Linked DNA regions of Elephas maximus indicus. The protein of the gene in region 1 purifies or fractionates together with the protein of each later gene. This does not show direct contact. Links are inferred from orthologs where the notes say so. Each region holds a gene or a part of one and is shown on either strand. Other genes may lie near its edges.

What was found.
Region 2: the proteins of NF2 (region 1) and AMOTL1 purify together in Homo sapiens (affinity purification with mass spectrometry; 6 studies listed by BioGRID and IntAct, counting the BioPlex papers as one, with this or other methods). This does not show direct contact. The link is inferred for Elephas maximus indicus from reciprocal best matches to the Homo sapiens genes NF2 and AMOTL1.

What each region holds. Positions count from the first base shown.
Region 1 is NC_064840.1:26,936,633-26,944,834, forward strand, and holds the start of NF2 (merlin), read right to left. Parts: upstream 3,259-8,202; 5' UTR 2,806-3,258; coding exon 2,692-2,805; intron 1-2,691. UniProt on the Homo sapiens protein: Probable regulator of the Hippo/SWH (Sav/Wts/Hpo) signaling pathway, a signaling pathway that plays a pivotal role in tumor suppression by restricting proliferation and promoting apoptosis.
Region 2 is NC_064825.1:26,223,711-26,231,104, forward strand, and holds the start of AMOTL1 (angiomotin-like protein 1), read right to left. Parts: upstream 3,249-7,394; 5' UTR 3,165-3,248; intron 1-3,164. UniProt on the Homo sapiens protein: Inhibits the Wnt/beta-catenin signaling pathway, probably by recruiting CTNNB1 to recycling endosomes and hence preventing its translocation to the nucleus.

The DNA.
Region 1 (8,202 bases):
CAAGTACTTAGCTTTTGCTGAGAGCGCTGTTCTTCTCTGGTTCCGGAGGTGTGAGTAGACTGTGTGACTCACTGTCTTTCCCTGAGGAAACTGCATCCTGAACGCTACCTCCAGCCCTGCCGCGGTCACTCCAGGGGATCGTGCCTGACAGATCCCACCAACTCAGGACCAGCAACTCCTTGCCACTTCTGAACTGTGTCTCCTTCCCCCTGCTGCTCAGTCCGATTTCCTAACTTTGCCTTTGATGTTCAGGGCTCCTAGCATGTCATATATATAATCGTTTTACTTGTTTTTTTGGGTCTTTGTTGTAAGCGGGATCACCAGAAGCGTCTGACTACTCTGCTATCTTGGCTTCGCCTCCCTTTTTTTTTTTTTTTTTAACAATATTGTATGGTGTTTTCCGTGAAGGTTTGGACAGCAGTTTAGGTTCCCATTCAACAATTTCTACACAAGTTGTTCAGCAACATTGGTTACATTTTTCACAATGCATGAACATTCTCATTATGTCTGTTCTGGTTGTCCTGTTTCCACTAATCTAGTTTCCCTGCCCTCCTACATTCTTATCTTTGTTTTAAAGTAATTGCTTACCATTTGGTCTCAAATAGGTGATTTTTAAAAAATCACAGTACTTAAGGGTGATATTATCTTTTGAGCCAATTTGTTATCTAGCTACAAGGTGACCTCAGGGGTTAGTTTTGGTTCAAGGTTTGAAGAGTATATCAGGGCAACAGTCTTAGGGAGTCCTCTGGTGTCAACCAGTCCAGTAGGTCTGGCTTTTTTTTTAGGAATTTGAGGTTCTATTTCACATTTTTTCTCCCATGCTATCAGGGTCCATTTATCATGGCCCTGAGCTCCAACTGTTCATAAGAGCACCTTTAGCCATGAACTTCTCCAAGAGCTTTTGCAAATGAAGTCTGTTTCTTTGGGAAGATATTAGGAGGTATCTGTTCCATGGCCTGTTTCTTCCTCCTGGCAAAATCTCTGAGCCAAGCTCTGGAGCTGTGTGGGTAGGAACAAGGCAAGCTTCTCTCTGAGTGGCACCCCTGATCTAGGAGCTGAGCACTTGGGGAGGGGGGGCAGTAGCTTGGGGTCTTCTTGGTTTGTCTCTCCTGGTGTGGAACCATAGCTTCGCAAGCCAAGGCACGAGGAGAGTTGGCACCCCAGTGTTCTCAGTTCACCATATCCAAGGTAGAGCCTCCATCCATGAGTAGGGCTGGGGAGAAGAAGAGAGCCCCCACCTTTTGTCTGCCCCAGCCCACAGGTAACAGGTAACTTGGTGCAAGATGATAAACATGCAAGTCCTGCTCTTCCTGGGAAGAAAGTCCCCTGGCTGGAAGCTGAGGGGAGAGCGAGCCCTGTGTTCTTGATTGCAGCAGTGTGGATTGGAGCTTCCACCTCCCTGAGCTGAAGGGCTGAGGGAGGGAGAGGTCTTGATTTAAATATCACAGACTTTCTTTTTTTTTTTTTTTACCAATTTTCATGGATTTTCTTGAGTAGATGTTTCCTCATTTCCTGTTTCCCCTTAGGACCATTTCAAGAAGTTTTCAATGGTGGTAACTGTTGTTTTTATAATTTTCACCAGTTTCAGTAGGAGCAGGTAAGTAGAACTCCTCATGCTGTCACGCCATTAGGGACCCTGTGTAAGGCTGATTCTGCATTATAACAGTAGGGTTGAAGAACTGAGTAGTGGCAATAAGACTCTCCATGGCCTGCAAAGCCAATAATATTTACTGTCTGACCCTTTACAGAAAAAGATTGCCAACCCCTAACTTAGGTCACTGCTGCTGATACTGCTGGTCCACGGACCACACTTTTGAGTAGCAAGAATTTAAATTACTTGAGAAGGAGTACTGAATGGGTTAAGAGCTTGGTTCAAAACCTCACTTTGCCATCTACTAGATATAAAGTTTTTGAGAAAGGGAATGATAATAATGGTATCTACCTCACTGGGCTGTTGTAAGGATTAAATGTAGGACTGTCTGGCACTTATTAAGTATTCAACAAATGACAGCTATCATCAAGGTATAAGACAGCATGTCTTTTCTTAAAGTCTTTTCCAGAAAAATTTAAGCTTCAGAAACAGGAAACAAGTATAAACTTTCAATATACAAGACGCTGCTTTTAATACCCGGGGTGCATAACAATATTACCTAATAAAGTTAAAAACTCACCCCCAAAAAACAAACAAACATTGCCATCAAGTCTATTCAGACTCATAGCAACTCTATAGGGCAGAGTAGAACCGCCCCATAGAGTTTCCAAGGAACACTTGGTGATTTCGAACTGCCGATCTTTTCCTTATCAGACGTAGCTCTTAACCACTACGCCACCACCCAGCCAGAACTTAAGCCTGACACTGAAAACGAGAATTCTCTACCATGGACGCCCGCAACCCCTTCCAGTAACAATGAATGAAAATCTTCAGGAAGTGCTTCCAAACCCAAAAGCCCTATGAAGAAAAGTAGCAATTATCTTCAACATGAGGATTTGGGCCTAGACGACCCCTTCCATTTCCACCCGTCTCTTATCTATACCCAGATGATGATATAAGGAGAATCCCTCAAGCTTCCACTTCGACTGACCCCACGGCGGGGGCGCCCAGGTCAGTGCCGGATCCGGGACAGGGCCGGGTAAACAGGGATTCGGTCGGGCTGCCCCTCGCCGCGGCCCGTCGAGGTTGCCGGCGGTTACCTCGCAATTGAACTCCATCTCGGCGTCCATGGTGACAATCCGCACGGTGAACGTCTTGGGCTGCTTCCTCTTGAGAGAGCTGAAGCTCATGCGGGAAGCGATGGCCCCGGCCATGGTGCGGGGTTCGGGCCCGGGACCTCTGTGCCCCCGCGGCCTGCGCTCTGGACCGGTTAACCCCCCTGGAGGAGCCGCACAGGCCTCAAGGCCACCATGGTGGCCGGCCGGCCGGTCCGGGAGCGGGTTGGGCGGCGCGGGGCCCCTACGGCCCGCATGGGCCGCAAGGACCCTGCCCAGAAGCGAAAAGGGGCGTCGGGGGCGGGCCCTGCTGGCCACGGGGAGGGTACGCGAGCCGGGACCGACGGGGCGGACGCGGCCCGGCACTGGAGGGAGTCGGGCTGGGGACGCCGGGGAAGAGGGCGGCTAAGACGACAGCGGCCCACGGGGGTCGCGGAGACGCGCTACAGCTGGGCGCGCACACGCGCGCGTGCCTCTCACCCTTCCCGCTCCGCGCGCCCCCGGCAAGCGTCCCCTCCCTGCTGCGCCCGACCGACTCCCGCCCCGCCTCCAGGCCCCTCAGACGACTACACACGGCGCAACGCAACCCGGCGGCTGCCTCCCAGAAGCCGGGGTTGGCTGACAACTCCAAGGGAGGCGGGGATTTTCTGTTCCGTCCCGCCTGCTTCTGATTAGCTCCACCAATTGAAAGTTCCGCTCTAGCTGTAGGCGGGAGCTTGGGCTTGGCGTTGAATAGCTGTAGCAGCAGTCACTCCGAATGCTTTTGTTCGTGAGTGTACGCCTACTCTAGCAAGACTGGTTGAGGCGGCGCAGCCTGGCGCGCCTCTCCCGGGAATCCACGTCCGGGCGTGTTCCTGAGCGCACGAGTTGGGTTCCTTCCTAGTCCAGCTAGGAACTGCATTTTTGACAGAGCACGCCCTGCGTATGGCGCCTCAGAAGGTGTATTTTAGACGCCAGGCGGATGTTCCTTTTTGGCTCTCAATTAACTACATTCAATGACCTCTGTGTTTCACGACTTTTAAAACACTTGTGGAGGCCTGTTTGGTTGCTGACATTGTCCCGCCGGATTCCTCAGCCTCGCATTAGAAGTGATACTAATTACTGTCAAAGAGAGATTATAATTGCACCTACCTCATGGGGTTGTTCAGGAGTTTAAGCGAGTTAATACACATAAAGCTTTAAAACGGTGGCCGGCACATACTAGGTTGGATCCAATGAAATTGTTGCTTTGGTAGATCAAAAAAGCTCGAAAATTTTCATTTTTCATTTTGTACTTTATGATTTTCATTTTTTAACCATATATGCTTCCTATTTATGTTTTAATATCATCAAGGATTATGCTGGGGGGAGGGAATTGAAACGAATCTACTCTCAACCCAGAAAACTTCTCCACAAAAACGACAGAAAGAAAAGTTTGATTATTGAATAAGCATTAAACCAGAATGTGATGCATCACAGGGAATCCACTACAGAGATTGCAAGAACAGAAAGAAACCTTATCCTTTATATAAAACAAAACAAAAATCCGTTGCTGTCCAGTCGATTCCGACTGTAGCGAGCCTACAGGACAGAGTAGAACTTCCCCATAGGATTTCCAAGGAGTGGCTGGTGGATTCCAACTGCGAAACTTTTGATTAGCAGCCGACTTCTTGACCACTGTGGCCACCAAAGCTCCTATCTTTTACATAGCTGAGGGGATAGAACTCAGTACAACCAAGTTTAAGACAAAATTGCTAACTTTCCAGTATCTATGTCAGGAGACCTAAAGTTATGCTCATCTTCCAGGAAAGTGGGTGGTAGGGATGGGAAATTTTGTGTGTGTGTGTGTGTGTGAATGTACACAACAAAACACCAATTTAACAGTTTCTACATGTGCAATTTAGTGACATTAATTACTTTTTAGTTGTGCAACCATTCTCACCCTCCTTTTCTGAGTTGTCCCTCTCTCATTAACATAAACCCACTGCCCCCTAAGGCTCCTGTCTAATTTTTCAAGTTGCTGTTGTCAACTTGATCCCATATAGATACCTCTTAAAAGAGCATAATGCTCAAGGCAGACGTTTTATACTAGTTAAGATAAACTATTGTTTTAAGATGTCTTCGGGGGATGTTTTTGGTTTAAGGTCTAAGGTTTCTTGATGATTACGTTTCAAATCAAATGGCTCTGAGACCACTGAGGAAACATCCTTGACTTATATACTTTTCAGAAAGTCAAAGGAAGATTCTGCCATTAAAAGAACTGAAACCTGTTATTTTCAATTTGTATTTTTCCTTACATTTATAATGGATGTGTGTGTGGGGTTGAATTATACCTGTGTTTAAAAATATAGGGTTGCTATTTGTTGGGATCGACTTGAAGGCAACAGGTTTGGTTTGGTTTTTTTTTTTTTTTATTTTTTGAAAAGGGCCCTCATCTATGATACATCTTTTCGTCCTGTCTAACCCAGAGGAAAGGAGAAGGAAGAAAACCAAGGACACAGGAAAATATTATCCTTAAGGACTAAAGGACCGTGTAAACCAGAGACTCAACCAACCTAAGACCTGAAGAACTAGATGGTGCCCAGCTACCCCCAACGTCCACCCTGACAGGGATCACAACAAGGAGTACCAAACAAAGCAGGAGAAAAATGTAAAACAGTATTCAAATTCACATAAAAAGACCAAACTTACTGGTCTGACGGAGACTGGAGGAACCCCTGAAACTATGGCCCCCGGAAGCTCTGTTAACCCAGAGCTGAAACCATTCCTGAAGCCCACTTTTCAGACAAAGATTACACATACACAAGAATAACACACATGAGGAACTGGGTTTCTTAATTCAATTAAGTATAGGAGACCAAATGGGCAGCTCCTGTTCAAAAGCAGGACGAGAAGGCAGGAAGGGACAGGAACTGGATGAATGGACACAGGGAACCTGGGGAGGAAAGGAAGCACATGCTGTCACATTGTGGGGATTGCAACCAATGTCACAAAAAAAAAAATGTATAAATTTTTGAATGAGAAATTAACTTGAGCTGTAAATTTTCACCTAAAGCACAACAAAATAAATAAATAAAGGGGGCCCTGGTGGTGCTGTGGTTAAGAGCTCAGCTGCCAACCAAAAAGTCAGCAGTTTAAATCCACCAGCCACTCCTTGGAAACCCTATGGGGCAGTTCTACTCAGTCCTATAGGGCTGCTATGAGTAAGAATCGACTCCACAGCACTGGGTTTGGTTTGGCTTTGGTATTTAAAAAAATAATAATTTTTTTTGTTGCTGTTGTTGTAAATATACCAAACCAAAACCAAACCCAGTGCCACTGAGTCGTTTCAGACTCATAGCGACCTTATCAGTAGAACTGACCCCGATAGAGTTTCCAAGGAGCGCCTGGTGGATTCAAACTGCCAACCCTTTGGTTAGCAGCCATAGCTCTTAACCACTACGCCACCAGGGTTTCCTACATATAACAATAAATTTTAAGATAATTTCTAATCGTCAAAATTGATTTTATTTTTAAATTATTTTAATTGTTGAATTGTTGTTGTTGTAGTTATGTGCCGGAGAGTTGATTCCAACTCACAGTGGCCCCATGTGACAGGGTAGATCTGCCCCATAGGAGTTTTTTTCTTTCTTTTTTTAATGTATTTTAGATGAGGGTTTACAGAGCAAATTGGTTTCTCATTAAACAATTAATACACATATTATTTTGGGCGAGTGTGCCTATTTAGTCTCGTTTTGTTTTATGGACCTGTCTAATCTTTGGCTGGAGGATGAATCTCAGAAGTGCCATCACTACTGAGGTAAAAAGGAGTCCAGGGGCCATACTGTCTGAGTTCTCCAGTCTCTGTCAGACTAGTAAGTCTGATTTGTTTGTTTGTTTGTAAATTTAGAATTCTGTTCTACATTTTTCTCCAGCTCTGTCCAGGACCCTCTATTTTGATCCTTGTCAGAGCAGTCAGTGGTGGTGGCCAGGCACCATCTAGTTGTGCTGGACTCAGTTGCCCCATAGGGTTTTCATAGCCAGGTCTTTCTCCTGTGGAGTCGCTGTGTAGGTTTGAACCATCGACCTTTGGGTTAGCAGCCAAGCACCCAACTGTTGTGCCACAAAACAAAACAAAAAAAACCTGTTGCTATAGAGTCAATTCTGACTCATAGTGACCCTATGGAGCAGAGTACAACTGCCACATAGGATTTCGAGGAGCAGCTGGTGGATTTGAACTGCCAACCTTTTCGTTAGCAGCTGAGCTCTTAACCACAGTGCCACCAAAACCAAACCAAGCCCATTGCCATCAAGTCGATTCTGACCAGGGCTCTTTAATTGTCCAGTAGAGAAGATTTAATCACACATAAGTGTTAACCATCATCAGCATTACCCCCACTCTGCAGATGAAGAAGATGAGACTTTTAGCATGATAAAGTCACTTGCTCACCCAGATGCTGTTGTTACATGCCATAGAGTCAGTTCTGACTCATAGCAACCGTACGTACAACAGAATGAAACATTGCCTGGTCCTGCACCATCTTCACAATCATTACTATGTTTGAGCCCATCGTTGTGGGCATGTGTCAGTGCATTTCATTGAGGGTGTTCATCTTTTTTACTGACCCTGTTTCAAGCATGATATCCTTCTCCAGGGACTGGTTCCTCCTGATAACATGTCCAAAGTACGTGAGACAAAGTTTTACCATCCTCGCTTCTAAAGAGCGTTCTAGTTGTAGTTCTTCCAAGACAGATTTGTTCATTCTTCTGGCAGTTCATGGTATATTCAATATTCTTCTCCAACACCATAATTCAAAGGCATCAATTCTTCAGTCTTCCTTATTCATTGTCCAGGTTTCCCAAGCATATGAGACAACTGAAAATACCCTGACTTGGGTCAGGCGCACCTTAGTACCACCTCAAGGTGACATCTTTGCTTTTTAACACCTGAAAGAGATCTTTTGGAGCAGATTTGCCCAATGCAACATGTCCTTTGATTTCTTGACTGCTGCCGAGACAGGCAAGAGATGGAGCTGCTGGCTGAATTAAATCAAGGCTACATTTCAAGGCCCTGTGTGCTTGACCAGCTATAATTAAATAGTCTCTGAATCTAAACCTAAGTGCAAACCACCATATAACTGTTGCTGCTGGCACCCGAAAACTACTTATAGTTAACAAACTAGGTGCTTAGACAAGATAAGGGACTACATTTCAGGGCCCTGTGTGCTTGACCAGCTATAAATTACTGATAATCTTCCTGAGTTGTTTTTCAAGGCCTCACCATGTGCAGAGCATATGTAGTAAAGATCAACATGGACCATGAATGACCTTCCACATGAGACAAAAATGAACAGGGACCCCTCGCCGGGCCTTGAACCAAGATCCCGAGGCATCACGCATGCATGACATCCCAGAATAAGTCCTGTTCGACCTCCCAGCAGCCTTTGTAACAGACTCCATCTTGGTTCCAGCAACCTCTGCAAAGAAGTCCATCTTGAATTCTAACTGCACATGCATTTAATTTTCATAATCCCTCCC
Region 2 (7,394 bases), on another chromosome or scaffold:
GCTGAACAGTTCTCACGTGGGGTCTCTCAGGAAGTTGCACTCAGATAGTGGCTAGCTGGGTTTGGAGACATTTAAAGACTTCTTTCCTCACATGTTTGGAGATTGAGCTTGAATGGCTGGAACAACTGGAGGCTGTTTGGGTTTTTCTCCACGGACTTTCTTCACATAGCTAGCTTGGGCTGTCTCTCAACATGGTAGTTTCAGAAAAATTGGCAGTGGTGCTCTGGGACCAGCTTGTGGCCCTTTTAAGAACTGATTGCATACCTCTTCTCAACTCTGCATTCGGTATAGCTTGCAACTGGCCGAGATGGGATTATTTACACTATGGAAATTGGCAAACACTATACTTCAGCACTCTCTCTCTTTTTTATTCCCAGAGAGCCAGTTTACATGGTGGTTGACTTTCCCCAGAGTGAGTGAAACAAGAAATCGACGAGGAAGCTGCAAAACTTCTTAGAACCCAGCTTTGGATGTCCCAAAACATCACTTCCTTCTCATTCCATTGCATGCAAGTCCCTAAAGTTAGCTCAGGTTCACCTCTCCATGGGAGGAGTAACAAAGAAGTGTATATTTTAAGACCCAGCACAGAGCAGGTACTCAACAAATGCTTGCTGAATGAATAAGGTCACTTTTAAACATACATCTATACGTTCTAGAATCACTCTAAACTGGGAACATCAGAGAGACCAAGGATTTTTAAATCCCCAAGAAGCCTAAATATAAATTTGCTTGATATAGCATTATTTACACTCTGCAGGTATTCACATGCCTGCTTACTCAGGCCTTTCCTGCTTATGTACTCAGTTGGGAACGTATACATGGCAATCACAGATTGCTTGTTTTATTGATGCTTTTGGGCTGTTTAGGTTTGATTTATCTCTTTAAGTAGATGGTGAGTTCCTTAAGCGAGTTCTCGTATATTTCTTTGCCATGCCTTCTTTCCACCATGTTAAATACAGATCATTATACACACACATATGTAAAAATACTTTCAAGACATTGTGATTAGAAATTATAAGCTTTAAAAGGGAAAGAAAGAAAAAAAGAAACCAAAACTTCTTAATTGCTTGGTTCAGAGTCTTCCATAATTGTTCAATTAACCCTTATATTTACTCAGTGAAGTAAAAAAAAAAGTAGGTATTATTATTTCCATTTCATAGTTGAGGAAATGAGTCTCAAGAAGGTTCACAAACTTGGCCAAAGCCACAGTAGGAAGTGGAGCAGCTATGATTCAAATGCAAACGTGTGTGGCTCCAAGGGAGCTTCTTGCATTCTCCGTGCTTTCTTCCCACTGCAATACATATCCCCTAACTCCTCCCCTTTTCTCTCCCCACTTCCTTGAAGAATCCACAAGAGTCATAAAAATGAAAATGCTTCCAAAAACCCATGTTCCAAGTTCTTGTAAAAATGCCCTCAGAAGCCTGGGAAGACAAGAAGCTTAAGATGTCTTATACTAGGATGAGCACGATCCTGGTGGCAGGAAGACCAGCTAGGAGGCAACTGCAATAACTCAGGCAAAGGGTGCTTGTGGGCTGAGCCAAGGTAATAGAGGTAGAACAGAGAGATGTCAGAAATGTTGAGGCATAGTAAGAAGACAGAATCGACAGATTAGTGATTGATTGGATTGTGCAGGTGCTGACCAATCATCTTGGAACCATCACTCTGATTGCTGCCAGGAAGGTAAGACTGGAGAGACGAAGCCTAGATGAAAGCTTTCAGTGTTCCTGGTAGAAGATGATAAGGTCTTAAACAAGGATAATGGCCAAGGAGGTGGAGAGAGCTGGGTGCAGTTGAGAGATATTAAGTTGGAACCTGCTGGATACTTGCCAAACCAGATGTGGAATGTGAGGAAGAGGGAAGGGTCAAAGGAGAAGTCCAGAAATCTGTCACAGACAACCAGGTGCTTTTCACTGAGCTAGGAGCATAGAAGGGGAGCTGATTTCAGGTGAGTATGGATTTTGAGCATGATTGAGTTTGAGGTCAATGAGTAACCAAGAACTGGTAGCCAGTATGCAACTGCATTTAAAACCAAACATCTTTTTTTTTTTTTAATTTTTATTTCTGATAGTTATTGGAAATATGTACAGCTAAACATATACCAATTCAGTAATTTCTTCATGTAGAATTCAGACATTAATTACATTCTTCAAGTTGTATAACCATTCTCACCCTCCTTTTGAAAACAAAGCATCTTTTATCTAAATGAGATCCTTTGCTCCCTTCATAGGTTATAGATGACTGCAGCCAATGCTATTTGTGGCAGGGCTCTGTGTCAATCAAGGAAGGGGATCTGCAACTCTCAAATGTTTCTACTTCGTAGGGGCTCAGCTCTCTCCAATTGCCATTCATCACCCTGCAGGCGCCTGTGTCATAACCAAAATGTCTCTACTGAGCATTTGAAAGCTAAAGTAAGACTCTACGATTCAGTCAGTGACAGTGACTTGTATAACTCAGAGAAAGCAGAGGGAGATTTCAGTGGACTGTGCACACATAAAACAAGATTTCACGTCCGTTTTCTTAGAAGAACTCATATGGGCAGGCACTAAGATGTTTTTGTACATTTCTGCCTCACCTGCAGCCACACAGCCATTGTTTACACAAGGTACTTGCATGTCAGGACAGGAAGCCAGGGCTCCTTTGTCTCCCCTACCCTCTTGAGGAAGAAGGGAAGCATTCAAGCCAGCTAATGAGCAAATGAGGGCTCTTCAGAGAGCCGCTGCTTTTCTGCACATCAACTGTTATCAGAACCTTCTGAGGGTTATTCTATCCAAAACACAAAGCCAAACATTAGGAAAGCAAAAGAGGGTACAAATGGCCCCAGCCCAAAGAAGACCACTTGCAGCTGCTTCACCAACGTGCTCAGTTCATTAAACAACTAAGAGAAACCAAACCTGGATTAGATGTCCTTGACCACTCTGAGAGTCCACCGTCTCAGCTCAGGGCTGAGTGGGGTTTCTGCTTACCCAGCCCAGGGCTGCCCCACCCACCAGGTGGAGACCAGCTGCCTGGAAAGCAGCCATTCTTTTCATTTCATCGAGTGTCCTTCAACCTTAACCCCACCTCTACAAACAAATGCCCTCCAAAGTTCCCCTCAAATCCCCCTTCCCTGGATTTTTTTTTTTTTTTTTTTTTAATAGAAACCCACTAAAGAAGAGTTTTCTTACCTGAGAGGAGGTCCTAGGTGTGCAGCAGTGGAGAAAGCACCAAGTTCTAACAGAATTGACAGGGACTCACGGGGCAAGTCAGTTGGTTTTAAAAGAAGAAAGGTGACTTCATCCCTGGTGCCATGGAGTTTAAAAAGAGCAACGAGTACTCCCCGCCTGAGCCAACTCTGCTCCATCCAGTGATGACTCCATCCAAATTATGCAACCATTGCCCAGACATGCTGAGCCTTCAGAAGGTAAATCTTTGGAATCTGACTAGCCTGTTGTTTTCAAAGAGCTTCAGAACGTCCCGAAGCACCAATCGCCTTAACCGGCGCCAGGGAGGAGGAAACCATGCACTTATTTCCCTGAGTCTTATCATTATCTCTAAGAATTCAGCTGTCTGAAAAAAAACGGTACTCTAGGGAAGGAAAACAGGTTTAAACTTCTGAGAGGTAGAAATTCTCAGAGGGCAGGGGGTGGGAGAGAGAAACAAAGACATTTCAGTCTGGAGGAAGGGCAATAACCCAGATAGGGCAATAAGGGAGCTGGAAATTATCACCTTGCTAAGAGGTTTTCAGAGCTGGTGGATTTGTAAGTACACATATACAAAGCTGAAGCGAAAGCTAGTGCAGAGGGGCAAGCGACTGTATGGAAAAAAAGAAGTGTGGCAGCCATTCTAACCAAATTTTGTTATTTTCATTTTGTTGATGAAGTACTAAGGTGCTCAGGTCGTATAGTGGTTAAGCACTCGGCTGCTAACTGAAAGGTCAGCAGTTCAAACCCATCAGCGGCTCTGAGGGAGAAAACTGTGGCAGTCTGCTTCTGTAAAGATCACAGCCTTGGAAACCCTATAGGGCAGTTCTGCCCTGTCCTATAGGGTCGCTATGAGTTGCAATCAACTCGATGCCAATGAGCTTGTAGTACTAGTCAACCAAGCCTGGATTGCTTTTTTGTATGTTGAGGGTCAGGCTGGAGCAATTGGACTTGTAACAAGAGATTCTCGGTTACTTCAGTGCTAGGCACCTCCCATTTGGTGCCAGGTTCTTGGGCAAAAACTTCAGGCAGGACTTCTGGCTGGGATGCCAGGACAAGGAATGGCAATGGATGTGAGCTCTGTTAGAAGTGGGGTGGACAGCTTGGCAGCTGACTGCCCTTTCTTCCTCAACTCTACTTCAGGAGAGGGTAAGGTAACTCTGGGTCACTAGGCATGTGTCCAGGTTCTTGCTGAGCTGTTCTGAGGTTTGACAGATTTTCTTGTGTCACATTTCACTCCAGAGAGGCTAAAAGAAGAAGAAACCCTTTTCTGTTCAGATAGAGGTATTCAGGCCCAACATTAGAAAAGGTTTGGTTTTTGAACTTGGAAATTTAAGACATTTCAGACTGGCTTATAAAAAGAATTTGCTAGTCTTCTGTCCAGGGTGTAAATAATGATAGAAGTAGAAGAGGAGAAGAGGAACAGAGTTTGGACACTGGTAGGACTGATGAAGGCAGGAATCATTTTTGTTTCATTCACCATAGTATTGTCAAAGCCTAGCACAGAGGCTGGCGTTCAGTAGGCACTCAGTAGATAGTTAAGGGGTGAATGACCTCAGACAGCCCACTCCACTTCCAGGTATGCCATTTTACTATTTGTTTTCTTTTTGTTCCCCCCCTTTTTTTTTTTATTCCTCTGCTCCTCCTTTTGCTTTCTTTTGCATTCATATTTTAAAATTCCATTTTAATCTATCTATTCGCTTTTTGGAGCCCTGGTGGCGCCGTGGTTAAGTGCTACACCTGCTAACCAAAAGGTCAGCAGTTTGAACCCACCAGGTGCTCCTTGGAAATACTATGGGGCAGTTCCACCCTGCCCTATAGGGTCACTATGAGTCGGAATCAGGTTATTGGCTTTTTAGCAACACATCTTTGCATTATATTTTTAGTGGTTGCTTTAAGGATTAAAATATATATTCTTTACTTTTCCCAGACTCCTGGGAGTTAATATTGTACCACTTCATGTAAAACATAGGAGTCTTGCTACTGGTTTGGTGTATTTACCCTCTCTACCTCCTCCTTTATGTTGTAGCTGTAATAGGTATTTCCTTTATATACACTCTGAACTCCACAATACAATGCCACGTTTTTTCTTTAAACAATCACGTAGTTTAAATAAATTAAGCTGAAGAAAATGGTATTTTATATTTACACCATTTACCATCTGAGATGTTTTATGCTTTCCTGAATAACCGAGTAGCCATCTAGTTTTATTTCCCTTTGTTTCGAAGAATGTCCTTTAGTCTTTCATGTAGTGCAGGTCTACTCGTGACAAATTAGTTCTGCTGAAGGTGTCTCATTTCATCTTCATTCATCAAGGATGTTATTGCTGGATATAAAATTCTGGTTGGTAGGTTTTTTTCTTTAAGCATTTGAAGATGTTGACCCACTGTGTTCTGGCCTTCATTGTTTCTGGCCTCCATTGTTTCAGTGGCATTTAAAATCATTGTTCCTACTCTGCAAAGTATCTTTTTTCTTTGCCTGCTTCCAAGATTTTTTCTTTGCCTTTGTCTTTGATTTTTGGCAGTTTGACTATGTAGGATATGTCTAGGTGTTTTTATTTATTTATTTAATTTTGTTTTTTTATATTAATCCTTAGTGTTTGTCAAGGTTTTGGTATATGCAAATTTATCTTACACAATTGGGAACTTAGCAGCCATTATTTATTCAAATACTTTTCTGAAGCATTAGTTCTCTCTCTTTCTGGGACTCCAATTACATGTATGCTAGACCTTTTTGTATTGCCCAAAGATCCTGAGTCTGTGAATTTTTAAAAAATCTGTTCTTCAGTTTGGATCATTTCTGTTGATCTACTTCTGGTTCATTGAGTCTTTCCTCTTCCATCTCCTTTATGCTATTAAGTACATTTAGTGATTTTTAATTTCAGATACTATATTTTTCAGTTCTTAAATTTCATTTGATGCTTTTTTATAGTTTCTGTTTCTCTGCTAAGGTTTTCTATATTTTCATTCATTATGAGCCTATTCCTTACATACTTGAGCATAGTTATAATAACCCATTGCTGTCAAGTTGATTCTGACTCATGGAGGCCCTACAGGACAGAGTAGAAACCATAGGGTTTCCAAGAAAGAGCGGTGGGTTCAAACTGCTGACTTTTTCATTAGCAGCCAAGCTCTTAACCACTGTGCCACCAGGGCTCCATGGCTATAATAGCTTCTTTAAAATTATTGCCTGCTAATCTTTTTTTTTTTTTTTTTTAATTCTGATATCTAGGTCTGCACTGGAGTTGGTCTCTATTGATTATCTTTTCTTTTTTAAAATGTATCATGCTTTCCTGTTTTATTGTATTTTAAATAATTTTGAAGTATATCCTGGTCATTACCAATGATATGTTATAGAAAGTTTGGATTGTATTTTGTTCTTCTGGTAAGTATTGAATTTTTGTTATTCAGGCTTTTAAGGTGGCTGGACTGCAAAATTCTATCTTGATGGCAACAGCTGAAACTTCAGGTCAGTTCTTTTAACCCTGGCTGGGCTGCTTAGAGTCTGCCTCATGCATACGTGGATCAGGAGTCACCCAGAGGTTAGGCAGAGTTGACTCTCCCCTAGTTTCTGTCTGATTTTGTTCTCTCTCCGGTGCCTTCAGCTAGTTGCTTTTGTATCTTATCCAGAATTTATAGTTGTTACCTACAAAAGGGGAAACCCTGGTGACATAGTGGTTAAGTGCTATGGCTGCTAACCAAAGGGTCAGCAGTTCGAATCTACCAGGTGCTCTTTGGAAACTCTATGGGGCAGTTCTACTCTGTCCTGTAGGGTCGCTATAAGTCAGAATCAACTAGACGGCACTGGGTTTTTGGCTGGGTATCTACAAGAGGTTTGATCTAAAAGTTTCTACTTGGCCATCCCAGAAGCCTTCAGCTACCTTTTGAATCAGCAAGATAATTCATAGCTCTTAGCTGGAATACTAAGTGTTTCATTTCAAGCAAGACCTCAGATTGATTAGTAATGTTGAAAAGGATGTTGGGGCTCAATAGAAAGGGCAACATAATCAATAAGCAATGTCTGCTTTGGATACAGTAGGAGAAGTATAGGTCAGATATTTATATTTTCCATCTATTTATTTACAAAACAATGCATAATACTTAGACATTTGTAGCTACTAGGACATCTCTTGGAGTCAAAGTACTATATTTGCTTGTTTGACAGTTAATTTTCCCCATTAGGTGCAACTTTCAGGAAAGCAGGGAGTGTACTTGT